Coturnix japonica: one gene and its partners. The protein of the gene in region 6 purifies or fractionates together with the protein of the main gene of each other region. This does not show direct contact. Links are inferred from orthologs where the notes say so. Each region holds a gene or a part of one and is shown on either strand. Other genes may lie near its edges.

The links.
Region 1: the proteins of LIN37 (region 6) and E2F4 purify together in Homo sapiens (co-immunoprecipitation; 4 studies listed by BioGRID and IntAct, with this or other methods). This does not show direct contact. The link is inferred for Coturnix japonica from reciprocal best matches to the Homo sapiens genes LIN37 and E2F4.
Region 2: the proteins of LIN37 (region 6) and LIN52 purify together in Homo sapiens (affinity purification with mass spectrometry; 6 studies listed by BioGRID and IntAct, counting the BioPlex papers as one, with this or other methods). This does not show direct contact. The link is inferred for Coturnix japonica from reciprocal best matches to the Homo sapiens genes LIN37 and LIN52.
Region 3: the proteins of LIN37 (region 6) and TFDP1 purify together in Homo sapiens (co-immunoprecipitation; 3 studies listed by BioGRID and IntAct, with this or other methods). This does not show direct contact. The link is inferred for Coturnix japonica from reciprocal best matches to the Homo sapiens genes LIN37 and TFDP1.
Region 4: the proteins of LIN37 (region 6) and RBL1 purify together in Homo sapiens (affinity purification with mass spectrometry; 3 studies listed by BioGRID and IntAct, with this or other methods). This does not show direct contact. The link is inferred for Coturnix japonica from reciprocal best matches to the Homo sapiens genes LIN37 and RBL1.
Region 5: the proteins of LIN37 (region 6) and LIN54 purify together in Homo sapiens (affinity purification with mass spectrometry; 4 studies listed by BioGRID and IntAct, counting the BioPlex papers as one, with this or other methods). This does not show direct contact. The link is inferred for Coturnix japonica from reciprocal best matches to the Homo sapiens genes LIN37 and LIN54.
Region 7: the proteins of LIN37 (region 6) and MYBL2 purify together in Homo sapiens (affinity purification with mass spectrometry; 6 studies listed by BioGRID and IntAct, counting the BioPlex papers as one, with this or other methods). This does not show direct contact. The link is inferred for Coturnix japonica from reciprocal best matches to the Homo sapiens genes LIN37 and MYBL2.

Annotation. Positions count from the first base shown.
Region 1 is NC_029526.1:1,544,954-1,548,453, reverse strand, and holds the end of E2F4 (transcription factor E2F4), read left to right. Parts: intron 1-687; coding exon 688-732; intron 733-1,035; coding exon 1,036-1,151; 3' UTR 1,152-3,011; downstream 3,012-3,500. Other genes in the region: ELMO3 (engulfment and cell motility protein 3), read left to right, coding at 3,389-3,466. UniProt on the Homo sapiens protein: Transcription activator that binds DNA cooperatively with DP proteins through the E2 recognition site, 5'-TTTC[CG]CGC-3' found in the promoter region of a number of genes whose products are involved in cell cycle regulation or in DNA replication.
Region 2 is NC_029520.1:34,237,107-34,241,053, forward strand, and holds the start of LIN52 (protein lin-52 homolog), read left to right. Parts: upstream 1-1,147; 5' UTR 1,148-1,239; coding exon 1,240-1,258; intron 1,259-1,345; coding exon 1,346-1,420; intron 1,421-1,515; coding exon 1,516-1,553; intron 1,554-2,074; coding exon 2,075-2,141; intron 2,142-2,639; coding exon 2,640-2,723; intron 2,724-3,947. Other genes in the region: ALDH6A1 (methylmalonate-semialdehyde dehydrogenase [acylating], mitochondrial), read right to left, coding at 702-761, 895-945.
Region 3 is NC_029516.1:123,708,782-123,712,281, forward strand, and holds part of TFDP1 (transcription factor Dp-1), read right to left. Parts: intron 1,346-3,500; coding exon 1,239-1,345; intron 1-1,238. UniProt on the Homo sapiens protein: Can stimulate E2F-dependent transcription.
Region 4 is NC_029535.1:553,474-556,973, forward strand, and holds part of RBL1 (retinoblastoma-like protein 1), read right to left. Parts: intron 3,292-3,500; coding exon 3,025-3,291; intron 2,067-3,024; coding exon 1,888-2,066; intron 1,196-1,887; coding exon 1,019-1,195; intron 559-1,018; coding exon 487-558; intron 146-486; coding exon 61-145; intron 1-60. UniProt on the Homo sapiens protein: Key regulator of entry into cell division. Directly involved in heterochromatin formation by maintaining overall chromatin structure and, in particular, that of constitutive heterochromatin by stabilizing histone methylation.
Region 5 is NC_029519.1:41,194,404-41,198,480, forward strand, and holds the start of LIN54 (protein lin-54 homolog), read left to right. Parts: upstream 1-1,277; 5' UTR 1,278-1,483; intron 1,484-4,077. Other genes in the region: COPS4 (COP9 signalosome complex subunit 4), read right to left, coding at 1,104-1,192. UniProt on the Homo sapiens protein: Component of the DREAM complex, a multiprotein complex that can both act as a transcription activator or repressor depending on the context. In G0 phase, the complex binds to more than 800 promoters and is required for repression of E2F target genes.
Region 6 is NW_015439939.1:37,374-41,389, reverse strand, and holds the start of LIN37 (protein lin-37 homolog), read left to right. Parts: upstream 1-1,216; 5' UTR 1,217-1,231; coding exon 1,232-1,365; intron 1,366-2,887; coding exon 2,888-2,943; intron 2,944-4,016.
Region 7 is NC_029535.1:3,093,696-3,097,738, reverse strand, and holds the end of MYBL2 (myb-related protein B), read left to right. Parts: intron 1-607; coding exon 608-754; intron 755-2,797; coding exon 2,798-2,926; 3' UTR 2,927-3,543; downstream 3,544-4,043. UniProt on the Homo sapiens protein: Transcription factor involved in the regulation of cell survival, proliferation, and differentiation. Transactivates the expression of the CLU gene.

The DNA of each region.
Region 1 (3,500 bases), on a different chromosome or scaffold from region 6:
GCTTCGTGGTCCTGTTGGCCAAGTTCAACATCACTGGAGGAAGGAACGATGTTTCAGAGATAATTTCTGCTTGTAGCCTTGTGTGGGCAGTGGAGCAGAGAGCAGTTAATGGCCCATTAGGGAAGGATATACAGAGCTCAGATGTTTGCTGGTGGGCAGCTGGCCAACCTCCCATGGCATATCACAGCTGTGGAGTGAAGGGATCCAATGAGGAGGGACGAAGAGGACAAATATGAATGAAACTGGAGACTGATTAGTTCTGCTGCTCCTGGAACAGCTTGTTTCTCTTTCTCCTCCCCGCTCTAAAGTGAGTGTGTGTAACTGAGGAGTGCATCTGGCTTTACCACCTCAGTTTCAGATGCATGTGGGGGAGTTTCCTTTGGGACTGCAGCTAACACAGCACTGCAGGGATAAGGCATCACCCTTCATGTGAGAGCACTGGGCTTGTGGCTGGGCTGAGCAGGAAGGAACCTCCTGCAGAATGGTTTGGTGCTGCCTGAATGGCCCAACACACGTGGCTCCCTCTGCCCAGGGCAGGAGGCTGAGCTTCCTGCTGCCACTGCCTGCACCCACCTTGCCTTAACCCAAAAAGGGGGGAACAAGAAAAACTGGGAAGGTTGGGAAACTACACACAAACACAGAGCAGAAGTCAGAGTGCATTGCTTACTGTGTTTGTCTCTTCCCTAGAATGTATGAACTCTGAGCTGCTGGAGGAGCTGATGTCATCTGAAGGTGAGTCTCAAGAGTTTTCCCCTCGTGGTGTGGCCTTTCTGGGGGAGAAGACTGGTCCTGTGTGCCTTCCTACAGGTGGCAGCCTTGCATTTGCAGCCTTGCCCTCATTGTTCTGGGCTCAGGGCATAGTTCTCACTGTTGTGCCAGGCAGTGAGTGATGCACGAGGAGCAGATGAGCCTCTTCAGTGCTTCAAGGCTGATGAAAAGCAATCTCAAGGATCTCAGGCTACGAGGCCCCACGGCTCAGCTCCAGGCTGTGGGAGTGCTGAGCCTTGGAACCAACTGCTGGCTTTTCTCTTCTAGTGTTTGCTCCCTTGCTCCGCCTCTCCCCCCCTCCTGGAGATCACGACTACATCTACAACCTGGATGAGAGCGAAGGTGTCTGTGACCTCTTCGATGTGCCTGTCCTTAACCTCTGACTCCTCGGCGCGGCTGTGAGCCTCGCACACACAGACCCTTTTGTAACTCTTTGGAAAGTGTCTATTTTTGGATTCCTTTTGTGCTAGAGCTCGAATCAGAGAAACTCTCACATGAACTCAGAAGCAAGAGATGTGGACTCGGAGGCCGGGAGCCTCCCCGTCACTTCTTTCTCCTCCCGTCTTGCACGTGCAAGGACTGACCTCGCCTTGCTGCATCTCTCTCTTCACTGGATTCTGGGCATGGCTTCAGTGGGTCTGTGATTTGTTGAGTTTGCCCAGGTGCCTCTCCAGGCTTCCTCAAATCTGCATGCCTTGGTTTTCCTGCACTCCTAGAGGCACTTTGCACCTCCTAGGTACCAGCTGCTACACGGAGCCCTGACAGCATGGCCAGTTCACAAGCCTGGAGGTAGTTTCAGTGTGGGTGCTTATATCCCAGAGTGACATCAACAAAAAGCAAAAACCAATGGCACCAGAGGTTCCATTTGTTCCAGTGACTCCAATCCAAGCCAGTACGTTTTACAAGACAAAGCACTTTTCTCTGTTGGCTGCCCCTCCCAATAGGACCCGGGAGCTGAGCAGGAATGCTGGTTGTCCCCTGGTGTTGGCCCACCTGACGCACAGCCCAACACTGTGCTGTTCCTACAGGGCTGAAGAAGGGTGCCAGTATTAATGTTTTCTTACTAATGAGTTGCTTGAAAAGGTTAAGACTGCTCCAGCTGATGCCTTGAAGGTATTCAAGTACATCAGACACCTTGTGTTAGCATCTAGCTGTTCTCCAGCGTTGCACTTGAGCCTTCAACTGTTGTAAAGGCCACCAAGCAGGAATGGTGCAGTAGTGCTTTGCCACGATGAGTTCCACAGGTGTTGTCAAAATAGTGTTTTGTTCCCCCCCTCTAACCCTCCCACTTCTGTTCCTCCTTACCATGTGCTCAGGGTCGGCCTTCCTACAGAGATGGATGTTCATGCTGTGCTCCCTGATCCCATGGCAGGTTGCTGCACGATGCGATGCCTTTCTGCATCTTTCTTGTCCCAGCGTTGCTTTTTAGCAGGTGTGTTGAGGTGGCTTTGCAGTGTTTTTTTGTCTTTCTTTTGGATGAGCAGCCAATGGAGCCCATGCATTTCTTTTCTTTGCTCTTGTTGGAGAAAAAACCCTCCTGGATTTATTGTACTTTGCAAACCGTCCCCCCAACGTTGCTTTTGGGTCTGATTTGCCTATCAGTTTTGCACATCTTCCTGCCAACCCAGCCGTCCCATGGAGCCTTTCCTGCCCTGTAAACTGCCAGAGCTGCAGCTCACAGCCAGCACCAGCAGTGATGGGCTACAAATGGGATGTACCCAACTCTCAGCACCTGCAGAGGTGAGAAGGCCACATGCTTGAGTCCCTTCTTTCCAAAGCATCTCCCCGGTGCTTTTTTATCCTTTGTGGGACTCCTCCAACAGACCTGCTCCTTTCTGCCTCCTGGGGACACAGCAGTACCCCGTAGGATAGGAAAAACACAATGAATTCAATAGGAATGGACAGCCTCCAGCCTCCATCCCTTTTTAGGTGAAGGCAGTGGGTGGGATGGAGACACACGAGTGCTCCAGCAGCCCTTCCTTCCTCTGCCACCCCTCACCTTCATCCCCCCCCCCCCCCAGCACATTAATGTTTGCCACAGCTCTGGAGAGATAAAAAAAAACAAAGAAAAAGGAGGAAAAAAAAAAAAAAAAGCTGTAGAGAAGATGAACTGATGAACTTTGATTCCTATATAAAGATTATTTTTATACTTTGGGGTTGTTTTGTTTTTATTTGCAAAGGAAATGAAAATTGCCTGTAATATTTGTACAGTTGTTGAGTGAATAAAAGAACCCTTTCCAGAGGCTGTGCTGTTCATAGGGATGGGATGGGAATAGGTGGGATGAGATGGATGGGATGGGAATGCATGGGATGGGATGGGAAAGGGCAGGAATGGATGGAATAGGAATGGATGGGATGGGACAGGGTGGAGCAGGTAGGATGGGACGGGATGGGACCGGGGGAACGGATGGGACTGGATGGACGGGGCGGGATGGGACGGGACGGGATGGAGCCGCCCCACCTGCGTCAGCTCAGGTGAGGAGGACGGCCGTGCCCGCCCCGCTCCGGCCCCACTCGGGGCTCCCTCCCCGACGGCCTCTCGGCCCGGCCCGGCCCTCCCAGGGGCGGGGAGGTGGCGGCTGAGACCCGGAACTGCGGCGCGGTGCGGCGGGGAGCCACCATGCCGCCTCCCAAGGACGTGGTGAAGATCGCCATCCAGATGGTGGGAGCCATCCCGCAGCTGATCGAGCTGCAGCAGGTACCGCCCGCCCCCACCTCCCCCCGCAGCCCCC
Region 2 (3,947 bases), on a different chromosome or scaffold from region 6:
GTCTAAAAACTATTACAGAAGATACACATTGATAGAATCATGTTCAGAACTATTTTAATCTACTCAGTCACTACAATTGCTAAGTCATAAAAACCCTGCAGTTCACAGACATATTTAAAAGAAACCAGTTAATAATTCACTTGGTAAGAATTCTGCCCATTAGTTAAGGAGTTCAGGTAAGTATGGAGAAGAAAAAGCAGGGGTAGAAGATGCAGTTAGTGCTGCAACATGCAGGAAGAACTGGGGCCATATAAGTGAAGAGATTGGAATATAGTGCCAAAGGCTTTGCTGAAGTCTAGGTAGACTGTGCCAACAGCCTTTCCCTCATCCACCGGGCAGTTCACCTGGTGAGGGCAGGGATGCTAATGCTGCTGTGATGGTGGGAGAGGGATCAAAGGACGAATCAGGAAAATAAATGGGGCTGAGCCGGACAGGTCACGGCTGCGAAGAGTGTAATGGATAAGCGAGGCCTCGGCTTGTGAAGGAACGCGGCGGTGGGTTAAAATAAGAATAAGACATGACAAGTGCTGATGTGGCTGGCGTTACGGCGGGACGAGCCGTGCCGCGGGCTGCACTCGGGATAACACCATCTTCAGAACTGAAGGGAGAGCAGGAAATCCGAGCTGCTCCTCGGCCCGGCGGAGCCACCGCCGCGGGCCCCTCCAGCCCAACAGCAAACAGAGCTGCCCGGCCCCACTCACCACGGAGGAGGAGGAGACGGCGGCCGAAGCGATCCAGGGAGCCCCGGCTGTCCGCGGCAGCTGGATGTGGACACAGAGCAGCCCGGTTACACGGTGCTCCCCTCCTCCTCCACACCCCCCACCTCCTCCCCACCGCCCCCCGAGGTGCCACCCGCGGCCCCTCCCGCAGCGCTGTGTCCGTGTGCCGCCTCACCCTGAGCACCACGCGCCGCCCGCCCCAAGCGCCACGAGCCACCGCCGCCATCCCGGCCGAGGGTCACAGCGCTCGGACCCCGAGCGGAGCCCCCAGCACAGGGACCCGCCCCCGCCCGCTCATTGGCCAGACGAGCGCCCCCCCCGCCCGCTGTACGCCCCCCCCGAGGGGGCCTTGCCGGCCGCCAGCCAATCGCTGCCAGGGAGAGCGTCGCCCCGCCCCTTTCCCGCCACCGCCCCCCCATCCGGGGCAGCGATTGGCCACGAGCACTAAGGCGCTCGGGCTCTGTTGTCACGTGGGTGGATTCCCGCGGGCTGTGGGTTTAGGTCACGTGACGCAGGCAAGATGGCGGCTCCCGGTGACGGTAAGGCGCGCGAATGGGGTCATCGTCACCCTGCGGTACGGTCTGAGCGGGCGCCGCTTCACCTCCGTTCTACTCCCTGTGCTGTAGGTGCCGATCTGGAAGCCTCTCTGCTGAGCTTCGAGAAGCTCGACCGGGCTTCTCCGGACCTGTGGCCTGAGCAGTGTGAGTGAGTGCGGCGGGCCCGTGTCGCTGGGGTGATGGCGGGGCTGCCGGGCCGGCCCCGCGCTCACCCGGCGCTGTTCGGTTCTCTCTTGCAGTGCCCGGCGTCGCCGAGTTCGCCGCCTCCTTCAAAAGCGTAAGATGCCAACACCACGGCACTGCGGGTCATACAGGCACTGCGGGAGGGACGAGCTGCGCAGGAACGCGCTGCTCTAAGCCCTGGGGGTGCTGCTCTTACTGCTGGCTTTGGCTGTGACTTGCAGTAACACCCAACTCGTCCAGGAAGAGCTTTCTAGGCATTAGAGTAGCCCTGTAGGGTGCCTGGAGCCATCGCGTTTATTCTTTCAGTGTAACTGGTTGTAAATAGGTGACGGAGCACTGGAACAGGCTGCACAGGGAGGTGGTGGAGTCTCCTTCTTTGGAGATATTCAAGACCCGCCTGGACACCTACCTGTGTGACATGGTGTAGGGAGCCTGCTTTGGCAGGGGGGTTGGACTCGATGATCTCTAGAGGTCCCTTCCAACCCCTACAATTCTGTGTGTGTAAATGCTATATCAGGCTTTGTATGCAGCTAAAAATGTACTTCTCTGAGAATGTTTTGCTTTTTTTTCTTCCTTTCTTTTTGTTCTTTTTCTTTTTCCTCCCCCCCAAACCAGCCTATTACAAGCTCGCCTCCCAAATGGATGGCTGAACTGGAGAATGATGATATCGATATGTTAAAGGGTGAGTATGGGCTCCATGGGCACTGAGGCTGTCTGCGGGTGGGAATTCAGTGCCTACTAAAAAGATGAGCTCAGAGACCTTCTGAAGCCTTGTGGAAAGGAAGGGATGGGGGATGCTCCTCTTAATCTGCAGACCATCTTAACCTGCAGAACATCTCCAGTTGAATGATTCTGCTTAGGAGTCTTTGTCTTGTCAATTGCCTCTATCTTTAGTTGGTCCCACAAGAATATATACTGATAACAAAAATGCTGTTGTTCTCCTTGTTACTGCTTTTTGAAGCAGTAAATCCCTGCTGTTTATTTTTTCTTCATTTTTTTTGATTGCTTTGGAACAGTTAGAATGTCTTGCTGGTTATTATGAGTTGTGAGAGCTGAAGAACATATGCTGTACACTGTAAACCGATACTGTTCAAAGTATAACTTGAATGCTCTGTGAAGCGATAAACATAAGCTGCCACTAGAGGGCTACAGTGTTAAAAATCACGCTTTTTCCTTTTAGAGCTGGGAAGCCTCACTACAGCCAACCTGATGGAAAAGGTTCGTGGCCTGCAGAATTTGGCATATCAGCTGGGACTGGATGAATGTGAGTTCTGTGCACAGATGTGATGACTGTATTATGAATCTTGCCACTGAAGTGTGTGTTTATGTTGCACTTACAGTCAGAAAAGTACGTTTGCTGAAGTGGGGAATGTCACACAATTATGACAGTGCAATAGAGAATTTTCTGAAGAAAAAAAGAGTGCTGCTCTAAGCAAGTCTATCATGGATGCAGTGGAGCCTAATAGAGCACATTTAAAAGAATTTCTTATTTTAGGTCTTGTTTTCTGTTTTGAATGCTAAGGTCCAGTGTTTTCTAGTGGCCCATCAATTTCTGACTTAACTTTGGCTTAGGTAAATCACTCAGTTTGCTTCATTTACCGCTTAGGTGCTAACACTCTGTCACAGAGTATCTGTGCCACCACTTCTGTGACTGTGCGTTTGTGTACTGCCTACAGAGTGAAAATGTAACTGGTGTGCAGGATTCTGTTAGCCATTAGTGCTCTTGTAACTTTGGGCTTCTGCAGTTATTTATTTTCCATAGTCAGCTATAGCAGGAGGTGCTGTCACTGCATTCTAAAGTTGACCTTCATCCTGCTTACCAACAACCAATTTATGTCAGTGCCTTTTTTGAAGGGGGGTGGGGGTGGGAGTGGGGGTGGGGATGGGGGGAAGATGCGTTTTTTTTATTGTCATTGCATATAGGATTTTGTTGTTAATGTGCTGATCCGGCTTTGAAGATTCCAAAGGGATTGTGCTTCCTTTAAACAGTATCTGTGTGTACTGATGCATTTAACTTTTACTGCTTTATTTTGCTCTGTCTTAGACTTCAGTTTTAGCAAACTCTTGAGCTTTACATGAGGCTTTGAAAATTTTTAGGCTCAAAGATTTTTTTCAGCTTTATTTCAGTGGGTAACAAAAAGCAGTTGAACTTTGAAGTCTCGTGATTGTGAGCCTGGAATACATATTTCTTATCAATAGATCATTAAGCCTGTTTGAACACTCTCTCCATAGGTAGAAATTTACTTTCAGTGCCAACATCTACAAGGATTGAATAAAGCTTTTAGTGGAGTAGAAGTTATACTTTAACAATGGAAATCTTAATCAAATAATAAGATTGGCTGGTGGTTTGCTTTCTCGATTTATATAACGTCTCACTGTATTTGCAATTTATTTTCACCAAAGTCTATCTCTGTAACACATTGAGTGCTTTGTGTGTCATGACGTATACATGTATGTTAGGAAATCTTCCATATATAATTAAATGCTG
Region 3 (3,500 bases), on a different chromosome or scaffold from region 6:
TAAGAGTTCAATAGAATGAAGTCACTGGGACACTGGGGACATTCTAAAATGAAAGCTTATGGATGGAATCATAGAGGATGGACCACAGGATAACAGAACAAATATGGATGGAATTTGAAAGAAAACTGGGAGGGAAGAGGCAAAGAATGAAGTCAAAGTAGTAATCTGATGTTTCTCTACATTCTTTTAATGTTTTTAGATTTACAAAGAATGATATCAAAGTTGAGTTCCTTAAGAATAACTAACATCAAGAAAATGGAAAAGAACAGTGAGACAGTCTTCACAATCCACTCCACTGTGCTACACTGCTGTCACCACCCACATTTTTCTCCTGAGAACAAAATAACACCAATTGAATAAGAACACAGGCTCAGAAAATTGAATATTTGAGTATTAAAAACCTGTCTTTGACCAGGGAAAGGCTGGAAAGCTGAGCAGGGTCAGAAGGAAGATCCTCAATTCTGTTTCCCAAGAATATCTTCCTTATTGGTAAAAATAAATAAGTAAATAAATATCTTCCCAGATTTCAGGGTTTTAACTATTTCTTGCTATCTTGCTGTCATTCTGAATCATAAAGCCAGTGTAAATTTCTCTCTATATAGATATCAAACAAGAATTCCATCTCTTCTTTGCCAACATAAAACTAAGTATCTCATTTTGTATTGATAAGAGTCAATACAAATTTGCTCTGATACAGGCCACCTTTTTTTTCTCACAAAAAATGTTTCGAATAAGACTTAAAATGCTACAAATTCTTCACTGCAAGTGTAAATTTCACACTGTGATCATACTAAGAAAGACACCATCAAGAGAAGCAATTTCATGTTACAATGAGAGACTGAAAGCACGTGAATTTGTCATTTGAAACGTGCGATGAAAACAACAATTTACAGCTGTATAATTTGTGCATGCGCACACACACAGGGCTGTAAATGTTCATTTACTCAACCAAAACTGAGTATGTCCCTATGACAGATTCCAAACCAACACAGTAAAGAGCCACTGATTAGAAGTGGAAACACTAACAAAAAAGACAGCAATCTGAATATTCAGGTATCTACCTGTTTATTTCACTGTTGTGTCATTTCCTTCTGCAAAAGCACATTTGTTCTATTTCTGCGAGTCTATTAAAACTAGAAACATTTAGACAATCTGCACATGACAAGTGATACTGGATATCAACCAACAACTCAGATTTACAGCACGCAAGTAAAAAAACACCCAACACATCTCCTTACCACTTGTTGTGCAATGTTGACATTAGACCGTCCAAATGTTTTTGGCAGGAGCTGTTTTCCGATTGTATTTACTGTAGAGGGATGAACAGCCAATAGAGAAACAACTCCTAAAAACAAATAGAAGCAGAAATCTTCATGTCAGCCACATTGTATTATTTTAGCAATTCCAGTTTCTTAAATATTACCAAAGCCTACTAACAGAAATGAGAGAACCTACATAAATGCAGCATTCATGCTCTCGAAGCACTAAGAAATTAAGATTCCTACTATATTTTTCTCACCTTCCTTCTGTGTAATCAGCTCGGTGACATAGAATGAGCATGATTTAACTCACTATGGTCCACTTATTCTCTCAAAGCACAGTGGTAGAGCTAACAGGTATATGATAGAAGGCATACCCCCTCCTCTTCAACCCCCTTTTCTTAGTGGCTACCGAAGTCTTCTCTCTAACCACTCAAAATCCATGCCCCATTGGAATGCACTGCCCAGGGAGGTGGTGGGGTCACTGACCATGGGAGTGTTCAAGAAACGTTTGGATGTTGTGTTGATGAATATGATTTAGCTGGGAAGTATTGGTAATGGTTGGACTAGATGATCTTCTAGGTCTTTTCCAACCTTGATAATTCTGTGATTCTGTGATTATTTTATGAGAGCCGCTCCAAAAGTAATGCTCCATATGTTATGACATTGGTCCACAACGTCAGAGGCAGATGATGGTGGTACGGCAATAGAGGCTGAACCTTTGACCAATATCCCATTACATGTTGTTGCTGTGTGATGGATGGCAGCAGAGGGGCGCTCTGACACAATGGTGGATGAAGCAAAGGTGTGTCACTGAACTCCTCCATGTGGAAATAAGAGTACACTCTGACATTCATTGACAGTTGCTGACCACTGTGATGGAAACCAAATAGTGGACGTGAGCAGTGAGGTGCTGAGTGGTGAGTTTCAGCAGTGGCAACAGCAGGTCTCTGTCAGTGCGGACTGTTACAAGCATGGCATGCAGGCTCTTGTTCATTGCCTGTTATGCCTTCCTGTTTCTTCAGTGTTCCTTCGAGCACAGCCACCACTACTCCAGCTCCGAGTGCCTGTGTATCTTCTGCTCAGCTTCCTGCCAACGTGCCTTTATTTAAACCTTCTCATTGCTTGCAAAAACAAGAAAGCTAACTGGAGGTTCCATTCCCAGTATAAGAGTTGTAACTTCTTTCTCAAGTTAAGACTCCTTGTCAACTCATCTCTAATTGTACAGAGCCCTCTCCTTACCTCTGGCAATTCTTACTGCACGTACACCATTGAGCTCTCCTGTTTGAGACTTGTTCTCACAGGGGACAGGGACACACCACTCATGAAGAAGGCACACCATATGTTACTGTACAAATCCACGGCACATTTTCTATTTTATTCTCTGTTGATTTCTAAATAACTCTTAAAATTTAATTTGCTTGTTCCCCAACAGACACTAATTTTATGTTTTCATCATGTAACTTACAAGGACTTTATTAAACTTTCTGAGTGGTAACAGTTCACTTGGGGTCCTCATTTTATCTAGTTTGGCTTTCATCAATTATTAACCCATGCGAGGACTGTCCCATTCCCTGACACCTCAGGTGCTTTAACAGGCTGATTAAAGCCCTTGATAACTTTCTTATTTTCTAGACCACTGCTTTCAACAAAACCAAGGGCATCACACTGATTAGATAACCCTTATCCAAATGCTTGTTGATTCTTTCAAAGCATGACTTTGAACAAAGACGCAACTTCCTAACTTCCCTTTTCCCCTCCTTGTGGAAAAGCATTAGTTCCTGCTCATTATCACATTTATCTATGTGTTTACTAATTATTTTTACATGTTATAATTATATTGGGGTAACACAACAGAAGTACCTTCATTAAGTACTTTTAGAATTCAGAGGTAAATATTTCCTGGTAAATTGCTAATGTGGTTAGAGTACTGAATTATGTGATGTATAAGGAGAAGCTGAGGGAGCTTGATACATTCAGCCTGGAGATGGTTAAGGCAAGAGATGTGTGTTTGTAGTGATATAAGTGTCACCTCAGAATACCAAATAGGTAGTTACAGAGATGCACAGCAAAAGAGAGGCAGCTGTCCCCAGAAGCTGCACAGAGAATTCCAACTAGATACCAGGGATAAAACATTCACAATGAAAATGGTAAGCACAGGAACAGGTTGCCTAGGAAGTTCCCTGGAGTTATATAAAAATTTCAGTTACTCAAGGCCCCATTCTTTCAAGTTGCCCCTGC
Region 4 (3,500 bases), on a different chromosome or scaffold from region 6:
GTTTGGTTCCATAAAAACATGCAAGTACGTTTTAAAACAGTGTCAGATTACTTTACTTACTTTCTGTCATCCGCACATCTTGGTTTGCATTTCTGTCCAAAAGGACATTGGCAGAACTATTTCTTAACAAGACACTCCTATAAACCTACAGGACACAGAGGGGGGAAAACAGGGAAAGAGAAAAGTCAGAAGATGATCAGGCAGCAGAATTGGCTGCCCAGTGTGGTGGGGGAGTCACTGTCCCAGGAGGTGCTCGAGAAATGTTTAGATGTTGTAATGAGGGACATGGGTTAGTGGGAAATATTGGTGGTAGGTGGACTGGATGATCTTGGAGGTCTTTTCCAACCTTGGCAATACTATGAGATGAAATCCATTTGAGTAAGAATGAATAAAGCAATGAAGTCGACTTTTCCATTATCATCAGAATCACCTGAAAACCACCCCGTCAAACATTTATACAAAGGAAAGGCACCTTCATTTACTCACATGGCTGTTTGCTTGTGGCTGATTCCTGTAACTTTTCATTATATCCTGAAAAGTTCTTTCCTCTTTGGTGACCTGGAAAAGAAAAGGCCATTGAAGACAGTGAGGCTGCCCAGGTGCAGTGTACTCAATTAGCTTCCTTGTACACAGATCTTTCACGAGCATTAATATGCTGATGGGATGCGTCTAATGATGGGAATATGAACAAAAATACACATTCTTTTTTATTTCTGATAGTAAAGCTATTTGTTGCCTAAGTTAGACATTATTTCTTTTCCAACTCATACTAAAAATTAAAAAAGGAAGTGTTATTCCATCAGATGTATTTGTGAATTTGAAAACTACGTGTCTTAACTTTTCTCAGTAGAAAAAAGGAAGCACTCCACAAACCACCACACAGCTATACATGCATACATGCAATTTTAGTTTTCTTTCACACATCAGAATTGTTCATTTGCTACAGGACTCAGGGTCAGCCATCCAATTTACATTTTGAACTGAAATAAAACTCTCATTCCTTAAACCTACATGTTACCTTTGCCATGATATAAAAGGCACAGAGGAGAAGCTGGTCCAAATGTCTATCCTTCATTAGATCAGCACAATGAACCAATGTGAATTCAAAGCATGTCCAGATCTTCCTGCGCAAGTCATTGGAGACATCCAACTTTAAACACAGGTCACGCAAGCGCACACTTGCCAGGTGGTAAACCTAGAAGAGAAAGACATACAGTAACGAATCAAGCCAACTGAGCTTAACCTATCCCAGAGAAGTGAAAGCCATCACTGAAGTGCAGCTGTTTTATGTTTCAGTTCTTTGCTTCCTCAAAGCTTTCTCCTCCTGCCCACAAGAATGTCTTCAAATACTAAATTGTCAACTCAGATCAAATGCTGGATGCTTAAAGGAAACCTGATTGAAAATATTCTATTCCTTCTGTATTACCTCACTCACTATAATGGGATGCATTCAACACTCTGGCTATGGAGATCCAACCAGTTCTTCATCCTCCAAATAGTCCAGTCTTCAAATCCACCCCTCTCCAGTTTAGGATATAAAGGAGAAAATCTCTGAGAACCTCTTTAGTAAGAATATATCTCCCTGCCCTAAAAACGTTTCTCTGAAGCACCAAGTTCTTAACCTAATCCTTTAACTCCTCATCATTTCAAGAAATTCCCTCTTTCCAGAAGCTCCTGAAAATTAAGAAACAAAAACACCTCATGATGGGGGAGGACAGAAGGTGAATGGACAGAAGATGAACGGTGTTACTGAATCCTCTACAATGGCTTTTCCCTTCTCCCAGCAATGTGAGAATTCTTCAAGCCAAGGACTGAAAGGTAATGTAATGCACAGAGCTTCAGCACAGCCACAGAGGTAAATCCCACCTTCCTATCAAAGATGCCTACCTTCCTGTAGAATAGCGCCAAGGATCCTGTTTTCTTTGGTTTGTTTCTTGAAGAGAGATGCACCTCTTGATCCTGATTCACCTGAGGGTGGCAGGGATCCTGAGCCTCTATTTTAGGTGTCTGACCTAGATTCATCGAAACGGGTATCAATGTGATCCCACCCAACTCGTTTGTGATACCTGAAGATGACACGCACCCAAGAAATGAACTGCTTGCTGCAACAACAACGCACAGTAGAACTGCAAATCCCAAACTCTTAAACCAGTATTTCATACACAAGATATTTCTTCCTTCTATATCGAGCACTAAGAAGATCGAGTCTTCATAAATGACAGAAAAGTACATTTCTGGTAAAGCTCAAAGGAAGAGGATGGTTGTGAATTATTGTTTCTAGAACTCCCTTAAAAGTACAAGGTTTACATGAAATTACAATCTCTGTTGTCAGTGCAACACTCCTCTGGGAGCAATGGGCATCTGAGTTCATTTTTTATATTATTCTGCAAATCTCACAATCTATTGCACACAGCCCACATGAGTTTCTGAGGCTGTCAAATTCTCTTAAGGAATGTCTCTTTAAACATGAAAAGCAGTGATTTTTTCATTCTATCTTCCTATATGGAGACACAGATTTTGAAATTCAGAAAGACTACAGACCTCATTTCTTGTGTATCCTTGTAAGAAATAGTCAAGCACCTGTTCCAGTAAAACAAAGAAAGCCAACCCCCCCCAAAAAACAAATGCAACCCCCTGCTATTTTGCTTAATGTCTACACAACCCTTATTCAGTAACTTCAGTCTTAAAAAGACAGTAGACAAAAACCAGAGCAAGCAGGAATGAATCACTATTAGAGCCGAAAAACAAACCAATGCTTAATCTGTGATGAGATTTAACAGTAAGGAAGAACTCCACAATTTTGTTTGCCACGTGGAATCCTCCAGACTCTTGTCAGATATCAGATTAAAACACAGAAAGAGACACCCATACAAAGGCTTGAGTTCTGGTGTTGTGTTTGTTTGCTTGCTTTGTTAATGCTCTCTTAAAGAAGGAAAAATAGATACAAGATCTACGGCCCATCTAGCCAGATCTTAAGAGCAAACAAAACATCTCATATGAAAGAAAACCATAAGGAACTCGTACCATGCAGTGGAATAGTAACTTTCTGTCCTGCTTTTCCTGCCACCATTGCTGTTGTTACAGTCAGCACTGTCTGCCCAGGAGAGATGGATGCATTTTCAGCAGCAATACTTGATGCTGGAGCAATTGTCAACTTAGTTCCCTCTGTTAAAACCTTTTCCACCTGCATTTCTTTGGGACTGTCATCTCCAAAGAGTCTTCTCTTGGCACTTCCTGCTGTCGGGGAACTGTAGCGCTCATGCACAGAGATTGGTGACAATGGCTGAGTGTCTGGTGAGCAAAGGAGAAAAGAGAATATCTTCAGTGGAGGAGCTGAACAGGAATTTCTCTGCAGCATAAGAAGAGGCTATCTGGTCAAGCTATAACAACAGACTGAAATGCATCAATTCTGGTTAGGGAGTAATCTCACAGGTCACTGTTTCTTGAATAGAGACTGACAGCCCTTCAACTGACTTCTGTTACTCTGTAGCTCTCCCAGA
Region 5 (4,077 bases), on a different chromosome or scaffold from region 6:
AAGTGAATCCAGGATAGAGTTCTCTTTTACCATACAAAGGTGCCAGGGAAAGAGTAAATAAAATGACATCCTCTGTAAATGAGGACTACTGAAATAAGAGAAAGGTTCAAGCTGCCACATTCAGTGAATACAGTAATCATAGAATCATTAAGGTTAGAAAAAGTCCTCTTAAGATCACTCAGTACAAGCCTAACCCCAACCCATCCCTGCAAATAACATCCCTCATGACTCTTGAGCACCTCCAGAGACAGCGACCAACGCCTCACTGCTCTTTTGGAGAAATAAAGTTACCTGATATCCAATCTGAACCTCACCTGGTGCATCTTAAGGCCATTAACTCTCATACTATCGCTGTCAGAAGAGGCCAACCCCTGCTTCACTGCAACCTCTTCTCAGGCAGTTGTAGAGACAGATAAAGTTTCCCCTGAGCCTTCTCCAGACTCAACAATACCACTTCTCTCAGCTACTCCCCATAAGCGATCCTAGTTTTCATGCTTTGTAAAACCCAGGACAACTGCAGACCATGACCTCAGGGTGCAGAGTACTGAAATGGAATAAAAACTTCTTTCGATGTTCCCCTCAAAAGACAGACTGAACACGATCACCTTCGCAGCTTTCTTATTTTAACCAGGAGCTCTCAAAGCAAAGACGTTCCTCCAGAGAACTAAGAACTGGGACTCGAGGAATACCAGTTCCATCAGAATCAGACACTGCCCTCGAGGAAGGGAAAAAACAAACAAACTGTGCGACACATTGCACCGTGAGCAGCCAAACACGCCATATCAAAACAATAAACGTTAAGGGAGGTTTCACGGTGCCCACAGCAGCACAGGGCCCATCACCACAGCGGGGCCAGGGCCGCAGGGACCACGAGGCGGCCCTAAGGCCTTCCCCAGACATTAAACCCAAGCTGTAAGTGGCAAAGTGTATGAGTAAGTGTATGAGGCCGATCTCTTTGAATTTTCTTCTTTTTTATTAAAAGTAACGCTTCAGAAGCGTGGTCCTCGGGCCGCAGCCATCAGAGCCGCTCCCCCGTAGCCCGGCAGCGTCCGCAGCCCGCACCCCCCCGCCCCACCGCCAAGGGAGCATCGGCCGGCACTCACTTCCCCGCCAAGTCCTTGTGGGAGCCGCTCGAGTTCATCAGCTGCGCCAGCTCCTGCCGCACCGCCGCCGCCATCTTGTCTCCTACCATAGAGCGGCGGCGCCGGCGGGATAGAGCGGCAGCACGGCGAGAGGGGGGGCGGAACCGGAAGCTCGGGGAAGCGGGCGGGTGGGTAAGCGCTGCGCCGGCGGTTGCCAGGGCGCCGCGGCGCAGTATTATGGGATGCGGCGGGGGAACGGCGCGGGGCGCGTGATTTTGAACAAACGCGGCGGCTCCTGGCGGGCAGTGCTGTGCCGCCGCCGCCGGGCGCGGACACGGAGAGCGGCGCGGAGCCACAATAGAGGAGGCGGCGGTGGAGGCAGCGGAGCGCCCGCCCGCACGGTGAGTGCCGAGGGGCGGGAAAGCGGCGGCGGGAGGGAAGAGAGCGGCGGCCGGGAGCGGCGGGGCGCTGACAGCCGGCGGCAGGATGCAGGCCGCAGGCCCGGACACACTCGGGGCTGCGCCGCGCTCTGCTCCCCGCCGAGACGGGAGGCGGCCGCTCGGAGCGGAGCGGGAGGACGGGTGGAGGGGGCAGGTGCGGCGGGGGCGGGCGGAACCGCGGCGGTGACGGGGTGAAAATGGCGGATCTTTCGAAATAGGGCCCGCGGCTCCCGGCCGCCCCCGCGCCGCCACCGCCGTGGGGAGGCCCCGGGGGGGAACGGAACGGAGCGGAGAGGGCGGCGGGGGAACGAGGCGCTCGCGGAGGGGCCGCGGGGCTCGGGCCGGGCCTGCGAGCGGAGGGGCCTGGAGGAACCGCGGCGCCCGGTTGCGGAACGGGGAAGGAGAACCCCGAGCTCCCGGAGCGAGGCCGCCCTTTGTGTGCGGGATGCCGGCACCGGGGACCAGGGAGCGGCGCGGCTTCAGGTGCGAGGCCGGTACCTGACCCCGCTCCGCTCCGACTCCGGCACCTGCCGCGGGGGTCCCGGCGTCGCCCGCGCTGGCGATCGGAGCGCGGTGTTAATTATTTCTGGCCGGGGCTCGTCGGCACATCGTGTGCTAATTACGTAACGTTCTGTATGAGGGCTTTGGGTTCCGAAGCGTATGGGATCTCCTGTCAGGACATAACTCGTGCCTGGGAAATGCTCCAGGATGGAGATGTGCGATCGAGGAGGGGCGGGCGGCGATGTGAGCCTTCACGGCTCTGTCCTTTCTGAACCGCTGTGCGGATATTACAGCGAATGGTGAATGTGGCAGAATCGCTCTTGGTGCACTTTGCAGTGTTTACATAAACCTGGTAGTAGCAGCAAAGCCTTCGATGTGTGGCTACCTTTTTCACAGTAGCTTTCTGGATTAGTGGATGCGAGAAGAACAATGAGTTGTCAGCTGAGTGTTTTCTCTGGCAGAGGAATCCCCTCACCAAATGCATTAGCCATCTTGTTTTGTTCCCTAAAGCATCCAACTGGTGTGTGTGACTAGGAATGATGTCACTGTGTGCCTTGAACAGATTTGCATTAACCAACAAATGTATGCATGTAGCAAAGCACTCCTAAAGTCTAACTGGGAGCACATATTAGAAAACAGGGCCTGGCTAATCCTGTGAGTTAGAAGCACACTCCACGCTGGCTGTAGAGCTATCGTTTTGAGCAGCTTATTATGCAAGTTTAATTGTTCAGATTACATATCACAGCTGTTTGTTTTGCTTATTCCACTGTGTGCAGCCCAGCTCAAATGGTCTGTCACTGAACACTGTGAACGGTTCAACTTCTCAGAAGAAGCTGTAACTAACTGCTTTCAGGCTGAGTATCTGCTGACTACAGGTGAACTGAAAGTGTGGAGAGTGCTGTGGGATTTCGGACTCGGAGACGCCAATACCTCATATGTCTTTTTTATTTTAGATTTTAAGAAGCAATTGCTCTAAGCTGCTTGAATTCATTTCCCTCCTGCCTGCTGGAAGAATATTGCATGGGAAATGAAACAAGACAAGCTACAGAGGGCTGTTAGTTTCTGTTTCTACAGCAAATTCTTTCTTGCTTCTGATCCCTCCTTGTACTGTAGCAGTGGTGCCTACCTTCACACCTGGTTAGAAAAACTTGATGTCCAAAAGAATTTGTGTGCTGCAGTTTTAGGATTCATTACAAGTGTCTGGGAGGTAAACTCTTGGTTTTATCTTTATTAGCGGTAGGACCTCCCAGAGAAGTGGATAAAGGTTTCTAGAAAGTTTGCTTCTAGGGTTTGTCTTGAGTAGTTTAGTTTATCACTCACAAAGTCTTTAAAGCAGCATGGAGTTCTCAGTACGGCCCATGAGTCATCTTGCTAGCTTTATAATATCAGAAAACATGAGTTTGTCTTGTATGGGAAGGAGACATCAGAATAACCTCTTGGTTGATGATAGGTCACACAGCAACACAATGTCAGAGGTTCATGTTTCTCACATTCCAGATCTAGATGAAGACTAGCAGCTCCCCAGCCTTTCCAGCCCATGTATCATTCCCTTTCACAAGCCACAAGATGTTGCTGCCTGGCCTTGGGTAATGTTCATGCCTTTGGGCCATGATTTGCTCCATCATGAGTTCCAGATACAGAGATTTCCTGCCAGTTTTTGTAGTTTTTCATTTGCAACTTACCTTTTGTTCTAAGTATTACTATCCCTTGTATTTGGGAGACTTAGAAAAAATGTAGCTACACATCCCTTTGATCCCATGAGCACTTCTTGCTTCTTTCTTGATGTTGGCACTGGTCCTCCCTCTTTCATGCTTCCCCTTCTCTTACACCATGCCTAAACACTGCATAGTCCGCATAGTGAAAGACTCATCTGTGTTAATACTGATATGGATTTTGCTCTAAGCTGGAGTGATCTGCACCAGACTATGTCAGGTGGCCTCCCACTGCTGGGGGTTGGTTGTACTCCCATCTTCTGCTCCTGTTGCTTGCTCTGAACTGGCTTTCTGCTTTTCCTGAAGCTTTTACTGAGCTGAAGTAGCCCTGTTTGAAGGCAG
Region 6 (4,016 bases):
ATAGATCACTTGTGGGTCACATATAGGGCAGTTATGGGGTCAAGAGCTCACTTAGGGGGCAGTTATGGGGAATACAGAGCATTTATGGGGCAGCTATGGGGTGTCTATGGGGCAACTATGGGGTGTCTATGGGGCAGCTATGGGGCTTCTATGGGGTATCTATGGGGCAGCTATGAGGTGTCTATGGGGCAGCTATGGGGCATCAATGGGGTCTCTATGGGGCAGCTATGGGGCAGCTATGGGGTGTCTATGGGGCAGCTATGGGGCACTATGGGGCTCTCACCTCCTCCTCAGCAGCGCCGCCGTTCTCTCTTGCAGCCCCTATGGGACAGAAGCGATGTAGAATGGGGGGGCTCCGGGCCCCATAGCGCCCCATAGAGCCCCATATATCCCCATAGCGCCCCATAGAGCCCCATATATCCCCATAGCGCCCCCATAGAGACCCATAGCGCCCCATAGAGCCCCATAGCGCCCCATAGCGCCCCATAGCACCCCATGGAGCCCCCTAGCGCCCCATAGAGCCCCATAGCGCCCCATAGGGCCCCATAGCGCCCCATATCGCCCCATATAACCCCATAGAACCCCATAGAACCCCATAGAGCCCCCTAGCGCCCCCTAGCGCCCCATAGGGCCCCATAGCGCCCCCATAGAGACCCATAGCGCCCCATAGAGCCCCATAGCGCCCCATAGCGCGCCATAGCACCCCATAGAGCCCCATAGCGCCCCATAGCGCCCCATAGCACCCCATAGGGCCCCATAGCGCCCCATATAACCCCATAGAGCCCCATATAACCCCATAGAACCCCATACAGCCCCATAGCGCCCCATAAGGCCCCATAGAGACCGATAGAGACCCATAGAGACCCATAGCGCCCCCCACCTCCATCCGACTCCTATGGGGGGCGCAGCCAAAATGGCGCCCGCCCCAACATGGCGCCCGCGCCCCGCCCTCCCAGGGGATGAGACGCGTGTTGATTGGTTGTCGGTTGTGATGGACGCGGCGTGCGGCCAATGGGAAGGCGGAGTGAGTGGCGGGACGGTTGAAAGAGAAAGCTCCGCCTTCTTGTGTGGAGATGAGAGCGGTGATTGGTTGGGATGAAGAGATGGACGCGGTGAGCAGCCAATGGAAAGGCGCAATGTGTTACGCCCCGCCTTCTAAACAACAGCTCGTGCTTCGATTGGCTAAAAGGTAAAACGGACGTGATCACAGACCAATGGGTAAAGGGCAGCGATGTCCCGCCCTCTGAACGCGGACTCTGGTGCTGATTGGCTGTCAGCCGGACGGACGGGGCAAGCGACCAATGAGAGAGCGAGGAGACGAGCTGAGGAGGCGGCGCGCGAGGCGGGAGACGCGGCGGGAGGGAGGTGAAAAATGGGGGAAAATGGGGAAAAAACGGGCAAAAATGGGGGAAAATGGGGAAAAACGGGCAAAAATGGGGGAAAAGAGGCAAAAATGGGGGTTTTGGGGGGTTTAATGGAGTTTTATGGGGCTCTATGGGGTTTAATGGGGTTCTATGGGGTTTAATAGGGCTCTATGGGGCTCTATGGGGTTCTGTGGGGTTCTATGGGGTTTAATAGGGTTCTATGGGTCTCTATGGGGTTCTATGGGGTTTAATAAGGTTCTATGGGGCTCTATAGGGTTCTATGGGTCTCTATGGGATTCTATAGGGCTCTATGGGGTTCTGTGGGGTTTAATAGAGTTCTGTGGGGTTTAATAGGTCTCTATGGGGCTTTATAGGTCTCTATGGGGTTTAATAGGGCTCTATGGGTCTCTATGGGGTTCTATGGGTCTCTATGGGGTTCTATGGGTCTCTATGGGGTTCTATGGGGCTCTATGGGGTTCTATGGGGCTCTATGGGGCTTAATAGGGTTCTATGGAACTCTATGGGGTTCTATGGGTCTCTATGGGATTCTATAGGGCTCTATGGGGTTCTGTGGGGTTTAATAGGGCTCTATGGGGTTTAATAGGGCTCTGTGGGGCTCTATAGAGTTCTATGGGGTTCTATGGGTTTCTATGGGGTTGAATAGGGCTCTATGGGGTCTCTATGGGGCTCTATGGGGTCTAATAGGGTTCTATGGGGCTCTATGGCGTTTAATAGGGCTCTATGGGTCTCTATGGGGTTCTATGGGGTTCTGTGGGGTCTCTGTGAGGCTCTATGGGGTTTAATAGGATTCTATGGGGCTCTATGGGGTTTAATAGGGTTCTATGGGTCTCTATGGGGTTCTATGGGTCTCTATGAAGCTCTATAGGGTTCTATGGGGTCTCTATGGGGTCTCTATGGGGCTCTATGAGGCTCTATGGGGTCTCTATGGGGCTCTATGGGGCTCTATGGGGTTCTATGGGGCTCTATGGGGTTCTATGGGGCTCTATGGGATTCTGTGGGGCTCTATGGGATTCTGTGGGGCTCTATGGGGTTCTATTGGGCTCTATATGGTTCTGTGGGGCTCTATAGGGCTCTATGGGGTTTAATAGGGCTCTATGGGGTTCTATGGGGTTTAATAGGTCTCTATGGGTCTCTATGGGGTTCTATGGGGTTCTATGGGTCTCTATGGGGTTCTATAGGGCTCTATGGGGTTCTGTGGGGTTTAATAGAGTTCTATGGGGCTTTATAGGTCTCTATGGGGTTTAATAGGGCTCTATGGGGCTCTATGGGGCTCTATGGGGTTCTGTGGTGGCTCTATGGGGTTATATGGGGTTCTGTGGGGCTCTATAGGGTTCTATGGGGCTCTATAGGGTTCTATGGGGTCTCTATGGGGTCTCTATGAGGCTCTATGGGGTCTCTATGAGGCTCTATGGGGTCCCTATGGGTCCCAATGGGTCTATATGGGTCTCTATGGGTCCCTAATGGTCCTTATATGTCTCTATGTGTTTCTATGGGGTTTTTAGGTCCCATCCCCCACACGCCGCCATGTTGTCCCTGAAGGTGAAGGTGGAGAAACCAGGTGAGTAATTAACATCGTAATTAACATCTTAATTAACATCATTAATTAACACAGACTTAATTAACACTAATTAACCCCAAGAAATCCCCCAATTTCCGCCATTTTGAGCCCAATTTCTTCCTTTTTGGGCCTAATTTCTTCCATTTTGGGCCCAATTTCCCCCATTTTGGGACCAATTTCCCCCATTTTGGGCCCAATTTCCACCTTTTTGGGTCCAATTTCCACCATTTTGGGCCCAATTTCCCCCATTTTAGGCCCAATTTCCACCATTTTGGGTCAATTTCCTTCAATTTTGGGCCCAATTTCCCCCCATTTTCGACCCAATTTCTTCCTTTTTGGTCCAATTTCCCCCATTTTGGGCCCAATTTCCCCCATTTTGGGCCCAATTTCCCCCATTTTGGGCCTAATTTCCCCCATTTTGGGCCCAATTTCCCCCATTTTGGGTCAATTTCCTCCAATTTTGGGTCCATTTCCCCCCATTTTAGGCCCAATTTCCCCCATTTTGGGCCCAATTTCCCCCATTTTGGCCCCAATTTCCTCCATTTTGGCCCCAATTTCCTCCATTTTGGGCCCAATTTCCACCATTTTGGGTCCAAATTCCTCCATTTTGGGCTCAATTTCTGCCATTTTGGGCCCATTTTTGTCAATTTTGGGTCAATTTCCCCCATTTTGGGCCCAATTTCCTCCATTTTGGGTCAATTTCCTCCAATTTTGGGCCCAAATTCCTCCATTTTTTGGCCCAATTTCTTCCTTTTTGAGCCCAATTTCTTCCATTTTGGGTCAATTTCCTTCAATTTTGGGCCTAATTTCCACCATTTTGGGCCCAAATTCCACCATTTTGGGCCCAATTTCCGCCTTTTTGGGTCCAATTTCCTCCATTTGGGGCCCATTTTTGTCAATTTTGGGTCAATTTCCCCCCATTTTGGGCCCAAATTCCTCTTTTTTGGGTCCAATTTCCTCCATTTTGGGCTCAATTTCTGCCATTTTGGGTCCATTTCCTCCATTTTTAGGCCCAATTTCCACCATTTTGGGTCAATTTCCTTCAATTTTGGGCCCAATTTCCCACATTTTGG
Region 7 (4,043 bases), on a different chromosome or scaffold from region 6:
CCACTACTGCTTTCATTTTCTGTCTTTAGCAAGTATGGGACCTTTAGCCCTTCAAAACAGCAGAAATAGGTTTTGTTTTAACACTAGCAATCAAGGGCTGTGGGATCCAGAGTTCAAGAATGGTGTAGGGGCTGTAGGTTGAGTCACGGACTGAAGATTAAAGGCTCTGGATGAACAGAAATTCTTGTGAAAAAGCTGCCTGCAGAAGGAGTTGTGAATTCCTTTGTGGTTTGACTTACTACCCAGCTGCTTTTCTACCTGTGGGATGGGGAGGAGCCTTATGTGTTCCCATCCTTAGAGGTTTCCTTGGCTGGCTGCAGGGGTGAGAAGGGGTCTTCTTCATCTCAGAAGACAAAGGCTGTGTTCTGGCAGTTACTTATTTCTTATCTTATAGCTATATGTTCTTTTTCTTTGCAAGGCTGTTTTGGTTAGTAAGATCTCCAAAGAAATCTAGTGCAAAGCAGTGTTGACTTTGCCACTTACGACTGCCTTATAATGTGTGGATGAATTGCTGGGATTTGTTAGTTGACCTTTTGGCCATGACAAGTATCAGCACTGTTAGTGCAAATCAACTTTTTTCTTTATATAATTTTCTTCCGTTTTGCAGCCTTTGAATTTCCTGTCAAGATCCTTGAACCTTTCCTCCTCAAACAGGAAGAATGACTCTGGTTTGCTCAACAGAGCCTTTGTGCAAGTGCAGTCAGAGAAAATGTCCTACAGGAAAATGCCAAGCCATTTCAGACCTCCAGCACCGGTAAGCCCTGCAGCTGCTCCCTTCCATCAGCAGGTCAGCTTATAGTGCTGCCCCTGTTCTTCAGGAGGAGAATTATGGTGGTGAGTTCAAGAGGAACATAGTATGCTCCTGTGTGGATATCTGTATGCTGTCAGAGCTGTCTTGGTACCCAGGTTTGGAGATGCTGAACTAGCAGTGTCATTACTGCAGCTCCCTCCACTTTCTTTGCAAACCTGCCCTTCTGCTGGAACTCAAATCCCCATGGCTCATCAGAGCTGTGGCCTGCACCCAGGGCCCTGGATTTCTTCCTGGGAATCTGTGTCCTGTCTCAGCCCATCAAGGGATTTAGACTAACCCAGCACTGAAGTAAACTACTTTTTCAGGAATCACTCCTTGGATGGACAGCAGTAGGTTAATCTTTTTTGTTTCTCTGACTGTAACAACTCTACAAGGCACAATATAAGTACCAAAAAGGCATTTCTCACCCCTTTGAGGGATATTTCTAGGTTGTGGTAAAATCTGTGTGCCACAGACAGCATGGGCTGCCTTTGTCCTGCCATTTACCTGAACAGTGGCATTACTGAGCTCCAGCAGATGATGTTTACTTGTCTTTCAAGCATAACTCATAACATGTGCTGAGACTGGTGCTTTTAAGGGCTGTTGACCTTAGAGTTATTTAACCTTTGGGACATAAATGGTTGTGTTCTTTGTAAACTCTTCACCAGTTGATGTAGTTTCAGACAGTAGCGCATTAAAAGAATTGGATCCCTGCTTCATTTGGTGGGGTGCCTTGGAGAAGGGTATGGTTTTTGCAGGTGTTAGTCTGGGCTGAGTCGTGGAAACTCTCTGGTAGGATGAAAATACACGTTTTCCTTGGTGAGGAGTGAAACCACAGCTGGGGGCAAGCACAGAGATGTTTTCAGATGTTAGGAAGGGCCCAGGTGCAGTCTTCACAGTGCAGCCTTGGCTCTGTCTTCAGATAAACAGAGCATCTGTCTCTGGATTAGAGCTGTCTGTTGTGAAAGCTCTTTCTGACAAATAAGTACTTTCCTGCCAGTGTAATTCCTTCCCCTTCTCAAAATAGACCCCACTTAAACACTTCAATTTCTCCTCCTGTCCTAGGTAGAGCTGTATTGCTCTGAGTGCTAATAGATCCATATAAATAAAGCTCTGGAAGTGACTTGAGGGTGGCAGTAAGGCAGCTTGTGTGATGACAGAGTACAGGTGTTCTGAGAAATCCCCTTGCCCAAAGACAGCAGAGCTGCCTGTGGTGTTGCTGGGTTCTTGGGATTTGTTGTACCAGACTTGTGCTGCCAACAGTGGCAGCTATAGATTAAGGAAGCTCACTTAGCTGTGAGCTGAACCTAAATTATCCCCAAAACCATGCTGTGTCTGCACGGGGCATTGCTGTTAGCAAATACCACTCATCAAACTCCAGTTCTTTGCCCTACACATAAACGGTTACTTCCAGTTGAGGGCAGTATATATTGTTTTGCTGCATTTATCAGAGGTTATGCAGAGGGTTTTCCTAGCATAGCAAAGCATGTCATGGGGGCTCTTGCTTTACACAGTGACTGAAGCACAGCTGATTTTTATTTTCCAGCTCTTCCTGTGCTGTGTGAGGCCCTGTTGAAGCTACAGGCACCAAATTGCTACTAAGGATGGATGGTCTTTCTGACCAATCCAACCCTTCAAGGTCTGGGGCTGAGCAGCTTCCATAGGAGTTGAGCTGGTTGGCAATAAACCTGGAAGCTGCCGTTGAATTCCTTTGATCCTTCCAGGCTCTGTTCAGCCCAGTGAAGCTTAGTGGGCTTGTTCTCTGGGCTTTTGGTCCCAAGACAAGTTGGGGAAAGCCCTTAAGAAGCCTATGAGTGGTTCTGCAATGGGAAACTGCTGAACATAACCCCCCAAGCTATAGGTTTTTATTTTTCCTGGGGAGCAGATAGTTTTTATTTATGCACGTTGTTTTAAAACAGTATGTCAACATTGTGTTTGTCTCACTAACCCTCAGCACCCTCCTTTCCCTGGACTGTGTTGTACATATTCTTTCTTTTCCTTTCATAGATGACCAGGGCTTGGAAAGCGGTGGCCTGTGGTGGAACCCGAGACCAACTCTTCATGCAGGAGAAAGCACGACAGTTCTTGGGCATGCTGAAACAAAGTCACACATCAAGGACCTTAATCTTATCGTGAAGGATTGTTCTGCTCTTTTTATTTTATGTTTTACATCTTGTTATAAAAGAAGAGGAGGGAACTACGAAGTTGGAGGGGTGGAAAAAATCCTCTGCAAGGCCGTAGCGTGTAGGGGTGAATTTTTTCCTTCTATTCCCAGGTTAGATCTGTATTGTAATAAATTGAGTTAACTGCTGGCTATAATGTCGGATACAAGTTCTGGAATCCCTGTGGAAAGGCAAATGAGGGATGGGTGGAGAACTGACAGCAAGAGCACTCAGCAAGACCTGGGCTCCACAAGCATAGGAAGCTGATTCACCTTCAAGCAGCACGCGTATCATGCATTGGAAACAGACTTTGAAGGCTGTTGGATTTCATGCTGGCTGTCCTTGGGAATGGCTCTTGTTAAGGTTCCCATGTGTCTCCTCATCTGGCTTTCTGCAGGGGATGGTGGCTCCTCCTTGCTTCTAGGATGAAGATGATGTGCTGTCATGGGCGATGTGCTTTGGGTTGATTTGCATTTGGAGCTGGCCAACCCTGTGTGGCTGTTTGTACTGCCATTGCTGCACAATGGGAGCAGCGGGTGCTTCTTCCCAGGGACTTGCTCCCTCTGGAAATAAACAATGGTGCTAACAACACCCAGTTGTTCAGTCTTGCTTTGACTCTGCCTGGGGCCTCACAATGTGCAGAGGGAGGCAGTGCTGTGTAGGGGTGTCAAGAAGCAGCAGAGCATGCTGTGGACTGCAGCATTTCTGAGGCAGGTCAGAGTGGCTGCAGCCTTATTGGAGAGCTGCTGGGAGCCTCTGGCCTTGAGGAGCCTCTGCAGTGCAGACCTCAGCTTCTGGATCAGTGTTCCTTGTGTGGAGGAGGCTGATCAGCTGAACAGAGTGCTCAGCTATTAAAATAACTGGTGGGGATTACCAGTTAAGCATGGGCCTGGACTGGACCAAAGGCTAATGCTGTTTTTTGTAGGTGATGTTTGAGATACAGTGAAGTCAAATAATGAGCACAAGGGCACGTGGTGTGATACAGAGGTGAGAAAGACAGGATAGCTCACCAGGAAACGTGTTTTCATGTGGAATCTCCTCTTTCCTGGCTGAGACTGAAGAGCAGCTCATTGGTCAGACTGGCACATGAA